Linked DNA regions of Coturnix japonica. The protein of the gene in region 1 purifies or fractionates together with the protein of each later gene. This does not show direct contact. Links are inferred from orthologs where the notes say so. Each region holds a gene or a part of one and is shown on either strand. Other genes may lie near its edges. The genes, in order: GNB5 and GNG2.

Evidence for each region.
Region 2: the proteins of GNB5 (region 1) and GNG2 purify together in Homo sapiens (affinity purification with western blotting; 4 studies listed by BioGRID and IntAct, with this or other methods). This does not show direct contact. The link is inferred for Coturnix japonica from reciprocal best matches to the Homo sapiens genes GNB5 and GNG2.

The regions. Positions count from the first base shown.
Region 1 is NC_029525.1:7,776,653-7,779,140, forward strand, and holds part of GNB5 (guanine nucleotide-binding protein subunit beta-5), read left to right. Parts: intron 1-508; coding exon 509-605; intron 606-1,417; coding exon 1,418-1,584; intron 1,585-2,234; coding exon 2,235-2,246; 3' UTR 2,247-2,488. UniProt on the Homo sapiens protein: Enhances GTPase-activating protein (GAP) activity of regulator of G protein signaling (RGS) proteins, such as RGS7 and RGS9, hence involved in the termination of the signaling initiated by the G protein coupled receptors (GPCRs) by accelerating the GTP hydrolysis on the G-alpha subunits, thereby promoting their inactivation.
Region 2 is NC_029520.1:52,684,998-52,689,481, reverse strand, and holds the start of GNG2 (guanine nucleotide-binding protein G(I)/G(S)/G(O) subunit gamma-2), read right to left. Parts: upstream 3,060-4,484; 5' UTR 2,841-3,059; intron 1-2,840. UniProt on the Homo sapiens protein: Guanine nucleotide-binding proteins (G proteins) are involved as a modulator or transducer in various transmembrane signaling systems.

The DNA.
Region 1 (2,488 bases):
CCATACCATGTGGGCAGTGTGAACAGAGCTCTGGAGGTTTAATTCTGTGTCTCTGAAGCTCCTGGTATGGCTGAAGTGTTCATCTTAGAGAGTGCACCAACAGCCAGTAAGTAGGCAGCAGGGTACACAGGAAACCACAGTGGGGAAGCAAGAGAGCAGGCTGGGAGTGGGAGAAATTCCAGGAGGTATCTATGGTCCAAATACCAATACCAAACTGCTCTCTTTATTTATATCAGGACAGGAAGGAGATGTACAGGAGAAGTTTGGACAAGCAAGCTCTGTACTCAGTTTATACAAAGCTGCCTGGTTTTGTTCACATCCTTGTTAGCTTCCAGAGGAGTCCCAGTTGTAGTGGACAGAAAGAACAGAAGGAAGGAATCCAAGGAGCTGTTTTCTGTGATACCTGCTAGGCTGCAGGCCTTCCCCATCACATTCTTTCAATGAAAAGTAGTGGCCATTGACTCCAGTCTTTACTGTGACACATACGTTGTTTCTGTTTTGATCTTAGTGCCGTTTATACGACCTTCGCGCAGACAGAGAAGTAGCAATTTATTCCAAGGAGAGCATCATTTTTGGAGCATCCAGTGTGGATTTCTCTCTCAGTGGTGAGAACTGAACTTGGGAGGTGGTGGTATTAGTTTGGTATGGTGGCAGGCTGTCAAATGTTGTCAGTTTAACTTGACAAAGCATTGGAAAACCAATATTAAATCCCAAAACCTTCCTCTGTAAATTAAAATTGCTCTTTATGTCGCTCATCTGACCTTGCAGCAATGAAAAGTATTCTCCTGGTCATGCCGAAAGCAGAAAATATTTTGCTATTGACTACAGCCGGGCTAGAATTTCACAATGATTATTAAAAATGCTTCAAAGGAAACATGAAATATAACTTGACTATAACGCACACTTACATAAATAGTTTATTAAAGGATAATAAATGATTAATAGAAGCTCAAAGTATGTTAAAAGAGCACGATGGCAGAGCCATTTTTCACTGCAGATCCAGAGATGTGAGCTTGAGTCTTCTCTGCCTTCTCCCAGCCCTGCTCCAGGGGGCTCCTGTAGGGCTGAGCATGGGGTGAGCTGCCCTGCTCCCAGCACACTGACAGATGGAGATGGCTCTGTGCCGGTCATGGGCACCACTGCTGGTCCCACTGGGGACAAAGAATCACTAATTTTTCTCCTGATTGTTCAGCTGTTTGTATTCAACTCCTGCAAAGTCAGAGCAAAGAAATATTGGCGTTTGTTGGCCTTCAACTAATTAATATTCTAATCATTTTAGTATTTAGCGGGGATAACAGCATGGTAGTTTGTGTGGGTCAGCATGGGAAAGCTGGGCTGCTGCCTGCTTCCCCTTGCTGCAGTAATGATGTGTTGCCCACTTAAGAATTCATTTTTTGAAATGTAATTCTCTTTGTAGGCCGCCTGCTGTTTGCAGGGTATAACGATTACACCATAAATGTCTGGGATGTGCTGAAAGGATCCCGTGTATCTATTCTGTTTGGACATGAGAACCGTGTCAGCACCCTGCGGGTCTCTCCTGATGGGACGGCGTTCTGCTCGGGGTCCTGGGACCACACTCTGCGAGTAAGCACTGGGGGCACCTTGCTGCTTGGTTTGTGTTAATAGAAAGGGGCACGGACAGCAATTAGGACAGGAACATTGACTCTCCAGGTTCTTTTCACTATCTAAGGTGGGGTTATAAGAAGGGGACAGACTCTTTAGCAGTATCTGTTGTGATAGGACAAGGGAAAATGGTTTCAAACTAAAAGACAGAAGATGTAGATTGGATACAAGGAAGACGTTTTTACAGTAAGGGCAGTGAGGCACTGGCACAGGTTTCCCAGAGATGTGGCGGTGCCCCACTCCTGGAGTGACACCCAAGGTCAGTCTGGAGGAGCTCTGAGCACCTGATGGAGCTGTAGGTGTCCCTGTTCAGTGCAGGGGAGTTGGACTGGATGGCCTTTAAAGGTCCCTTCCAACTCAAGTGGTTCTGTGACAACTAACAAAGCTATAAAATCCTGCAGCGTAAAGTGTGAGCTGAAAATTCAGATGGAAACATTGCCTCACAGGGCCTGCAGAGCTGTTGAAGCCAAGGAAATTTTGAAGTTGCTTCTTAAATGGTATCACGGCTGCTGGTATCCTGTGCCACTAACCTGACTGCCTTGGCAATCTTTAATTCAGTATCTGATAGAACAGTGAGGGTCATAAATGACTGTTCAACTCTCTTTCTGCAGATCTGGGCTTAACATGAGATCCTGTGTGCAGAGTCCAATGAAGACCGATGACCTGGACTGCAAAAACAGCATAAAGAAGGCTCCCTGCAAATGAGATATTCGCTACTCTACAAAGGAGTGACACCGAACCCACAGATCAGCACAACTAGGTAGAACATAACCTGCTCAAACACATAGCAAACATGAACTCGTGGTAAAAGTTAATGGTTCTGATTCTGTTTTGAAAGTACCATATTTTATTATAGAACTAGTTT
Region 2 (4,484 bases), on another chromosome or scaffold:
AGCGGTGCAGGGCAGCGTGCAGGGGATGAGGCAGCAGCACAGCAGGGTCTGCCAGGAGCTGCAGTGGGAATATCCTGTGCTGGGATGGGTTATTTTTCCCCATTGCTTGTGTTGCATGGCATTCATTGCTCAGGATGCTTGATGAGCTCTGAAGGCACAGGGAGCCGGGTTATAACCTCTCGTACAGACCCAGGAAGAGCAGCTCCCGGGGAGCATTGCAGAAGGCACAGAGCTAACTTTCCTTCCCATGCGAGGAGGGCACTAAGCCTGTTAAATCGAGACAGCAGCTCAGCTCAAGGAGCTGATCCTCTGAGCACAGTGTGCTGCCTCAAACCATGCACAGGCACCGCGGTGCTGCTCCTTCCCCAGCTGAAGCACAGCCAGACCGGCATCAGTGCCCCCACGCACACGGCTGGGGGTGGAGGGGGCCCCTCACGGTGCCCTTTAAACCCAGCGTGGCTGCCACTCCCTGCATCTCACCCAGCTGCTGCTGCCCAAGAGCTGTCAGCGCTGTAACCAACACGCGGCAAGGTGGGGAGGTGTAAGGTCTGGTGTAAGGTTTGGTGCGATGCCATTCCAGGGCTATTTTCTTTTTGTTATTTTTTTTTTCCCCACTCAGTATGTGGAGAAAACAATTTTGGCTGCACGAAATGGAGGAGATGCGTTATTTCAGACCTCATCCTTTGCACATGTAGCTCACACGGGGACACTCTGCATTGCACCCCATGGCCCAGGCTGCAGCATCCCGCTGCCTCCCCAGCCATCCCACCCGCTGCCGCCCAGAGGGATGAAACAGTCAGGAAAGAAGCTGAGAAGCAAGAAAATGACCCCCACAGCCCGGTTCCTTTGCTCTCCTCTCCCACTTGTGCGTGCCCTGAGCACACGCTCTGATCCCACTCCAGGCACAAGGAGACGTCCTGCTGAGCACCGACACAACTCATGCCAAAAATGATGCTTTTCCCACGGCCATTCCCTGATTCCTAACCCCAAAATGGAGATGGGAAGGCCCAGATATGACCCCTTGTGGGAACCACTGTGGGATTGGGCTCCATAGCCTCCCAGCAGAGCTGATGGGGCCAGGCAGCATTTGTAGGGCTGCGGGTTGGGTGCCGCCTCTCCAGTCCCAATTGCTATGGAAACTGCGTGCGCGGCGCTGCCTTCCCTCCTCCCATGACTCACGGGTTTTCAAAGGGAGAAGTGGTGCCTCGGCCGCTGCTGTTTTGAGGCCAAAGCAGCAAAATCCAGGCGGGTGCATCTGTGGGGCTGGATGGAAGGCAGCGCCGTGCTGTGCCAAGTTGGCAACGTCGCCACGCACTGAGCTCCAGCGTTGGGTGGTGGAGGTGTTGGCTGGGTTGGGGATGGGCAACAATCCTCAACAATTGGGTTTCTCCAGCATCTCTACCCGCATTGCTCTGGGATGCCATACCCTGACCCCAAAGAGCACAATGCCAGCCCCTGGGGCTGGGGATCCAGATGGAACTGAGATTGCCATGCTTGTGTCACAGGTGGCAGCTGGCAGCATGCTGCTGGTAAGCAAGCAAAGGGATAGAAATGGCAAGAAAAGCCCTAAAATGGGTGTGAAGGGAACAGCCTGAGCCCATAGGCCACGGTATGGGGTGGGAAAACAACGCCCAGAGCACCTCTGAGCATCCTCCCAGAGAAAGACTTCACCCCGGGGCTTTCCTGGCAATAATTAATTGAGTCATATTTCAATCCAGCCAGAGGCCATATGGCAGAAAAGAGGATTAGCATCGCAGGCTCCAGCTGCATGGAGGGAAATCCAGTTAGAAGGAAAAATCCCCCGTGCTTGGGCCCAGCCTGGTGCCAAGGGGACATGCCCCGGCCCTGGGCAGTGCAATGGGGATCTGGGGTCTGTCCAGTGGGAAACAAACAATAGGGCAAACCCACAAGCACTGCACACAAGGGTACAATGACAGGGGATAATGCTGCCCTACATTCCCACCCCATTACCATTGGGGCAGCACACCCTGAGTTTGTCAGGGACTCATTAGCAATAAGTGGGGAGCTAAAATTCAAGTTTTTCCTTCATTATAAATCCATTTTCCTGCACGAAGGCTGAAGTTTGGGGCTGGATTCCTCTCCCTCTGGAACGCGGAACCTCGGACCATTTTTATGATTCCATTCTATGATTCCCCAGTCCCTGGGCACAGCAGGGAGCTGCCTGGGCACACGGTGCCTTTGCCATGGTTACTTTTCCTTAGACCTCTCAGAGCTGTGCTGCTTCCTGCTGCATGGCCACCACGGGGAAAATCCGAACTCCCATTGAAATCCCAGCCATTGAGAGAACGGGGGTGGTGGGGTGGGGCAGCAGGTGGGGATGGGGCGCCCCAAGTACCCCCTCCCTAAGCCACGGTGGGGGCAGATCCATCCCAGCAAGAGAGATTTGGGGCAGGGAAAGCCCTTTGCAGGGGGTGGGAGAGGGAGAGAAAAAATAAAAAGGAGAACACTACGTCTCATTCATCCCGAGAAAAAGCCGTTCATGTGATGGCAAATCAGTTGATTAAGTGAGGATCAGCCCCCGTAGAGCTTTGCTGGGGGCTGAGCGCCGGGGCAGGCACCATCCCTGCAGCACCCATTGGTGTTGGGGCTATGGGCGGTGCAGGGTGTCGGGGTCCCCATGGGGTAAGCAGCAAAGGCAGTGACGGGGTGATGCAAGCCGGGGGCTGGGGTGACAGGATCGCCTTTGGAGGGGTAATAAGCAGGGAGCGCTTTGGGGCCCGAGGGATGCTGCTGCCATGGGATCGCCCCGATGCGCGCTGTTCGTGCGCGCCCGGCGCCCCCCAGCCCCGCTCCCATCGCCCCCCCGGCTCTCCCCGTACCTGCGGGCGGTGCTGCCCCGGCTCTCCCCGCGGGGCGGCGGCGGTCGGACGGACGGACGGAGGGATGGATGGAGGGATGGATGGAGAAGGGATGCGGGCTGGAGGCAGAGGGGCGGTCAGCAGCAGCCCGGAGCGGCGAGTCCCCACCCAGCTTTGTCTGCGCTCATCCCTCTGCCTACAGGAAGCGGCTCGGCCCCGACTTCCTCCTCCTCCTCCTCCTCCTCCCGCTGCTGCTGCTCTCCCTCCTGTCCCCTCCCCTTCTCCTCACCCCGAGCCCCCTCTCCTCCCCGATCCCCGTTTTCTGCAGCCCTGGGCCTGCCCTTCTCCAGCCTCCTGCCCCACCTCCCTCCCCCTGCCCCACACCAACCCCACTGTGCGCCCACCCCGCTCCCTGCAGCCCCATCACACAACCACATCCTTCCCCCAAACCACCCCTGCAACCCATCCCACCTTCCTGCATCCCCATAACACTCCCTGCATCCCCTCACACCCCCTTCGTCCCTGACACACCCCTGCACCTTATCACACACCCACACCTTATCACATCCCTTTCCCTGCCATCACCCCCTTTTGAAACCCCATCACACCACATTCTGCACCCCACCAACCTCCAGCCCTTCCCTCTATTGCCCCCACACCTCCCTGGATCCCCTCTTTCCCCCCTCCGAGGGCTCCTCAGCCCCCCCAAGCCCTTTCCAACCCCTTAAGTCCCACACCAGCCCCTACTTGTACCTCCAGCAATTCCTTATTTTACATACTTTTTTTTAGTATTTAAGCCCTGATTCCCAGATTTTAGGATTAGGATCTGTTTTAGGGTTTGGGGAGCTGGTCGGCTTCTTTAGAAGATCATTCATTCCCTCCATCCACACCCCAAAATGACCTCCAACACCCTGGATGTGGGTTCACCTCAGGTGCCTCGGGCTGAGTTTTGGGATGCACTTGATGAGCTCTCTTGTTAAACCCACAACCCCCGTTATTAACCCATAACCCCTGTTATTAAACCCATAACCCCCATTATTAATCCATAACCCTCTTTATCAAACCCATAACAGGGTAGTGGGTTTCACATAGTCTCCCCATGCACATTTCCTGGAAGGAGAGGCAATGAGCTGCGGGAAAACGGGCTTCTCCATTTCCACAGTGATGCCCCATGGCTGATTGCTGAGGTTGAATAACCACTGGTCAAGGCTGGGGCTGCCCCCAGCAGCACCCAATGGTGCCCCCCAGCAGGAGACCCCAATGAGAAGCACCCAAGCAGCAAAGCTAAACTAGCACTGCCGCGGCGTTTTTGCCTTTTTAAAGTGCGTTTCTTTTCTCTTGGCTTCCAAATGGTTCACATTCCAAGCGCTTCTAAGTTGGATGTTGGGTGGGAATCATTATTTTTTTTTAACTTGGAATCAGCTTTTCCCTATGGCTGATTGTGGTTGTAACCAGTTCCACGCCGACCCACTCGGCTGGGTTTGATGCACGCAGTTATTGCCATCCCTCCTGCCAGGGAGGTGGCATTTGCACGTCGTCAAGCTGCTGATCTCAAATCCTCAGCCAGCCGGGCTGCCAGAATGATGACAGGAGATGCCAAGTCTGGAATGGAGGCAACTGGAGACGGAATGTGAGCTGCTCTGTGACAGCAAGAACTTGTGGAAG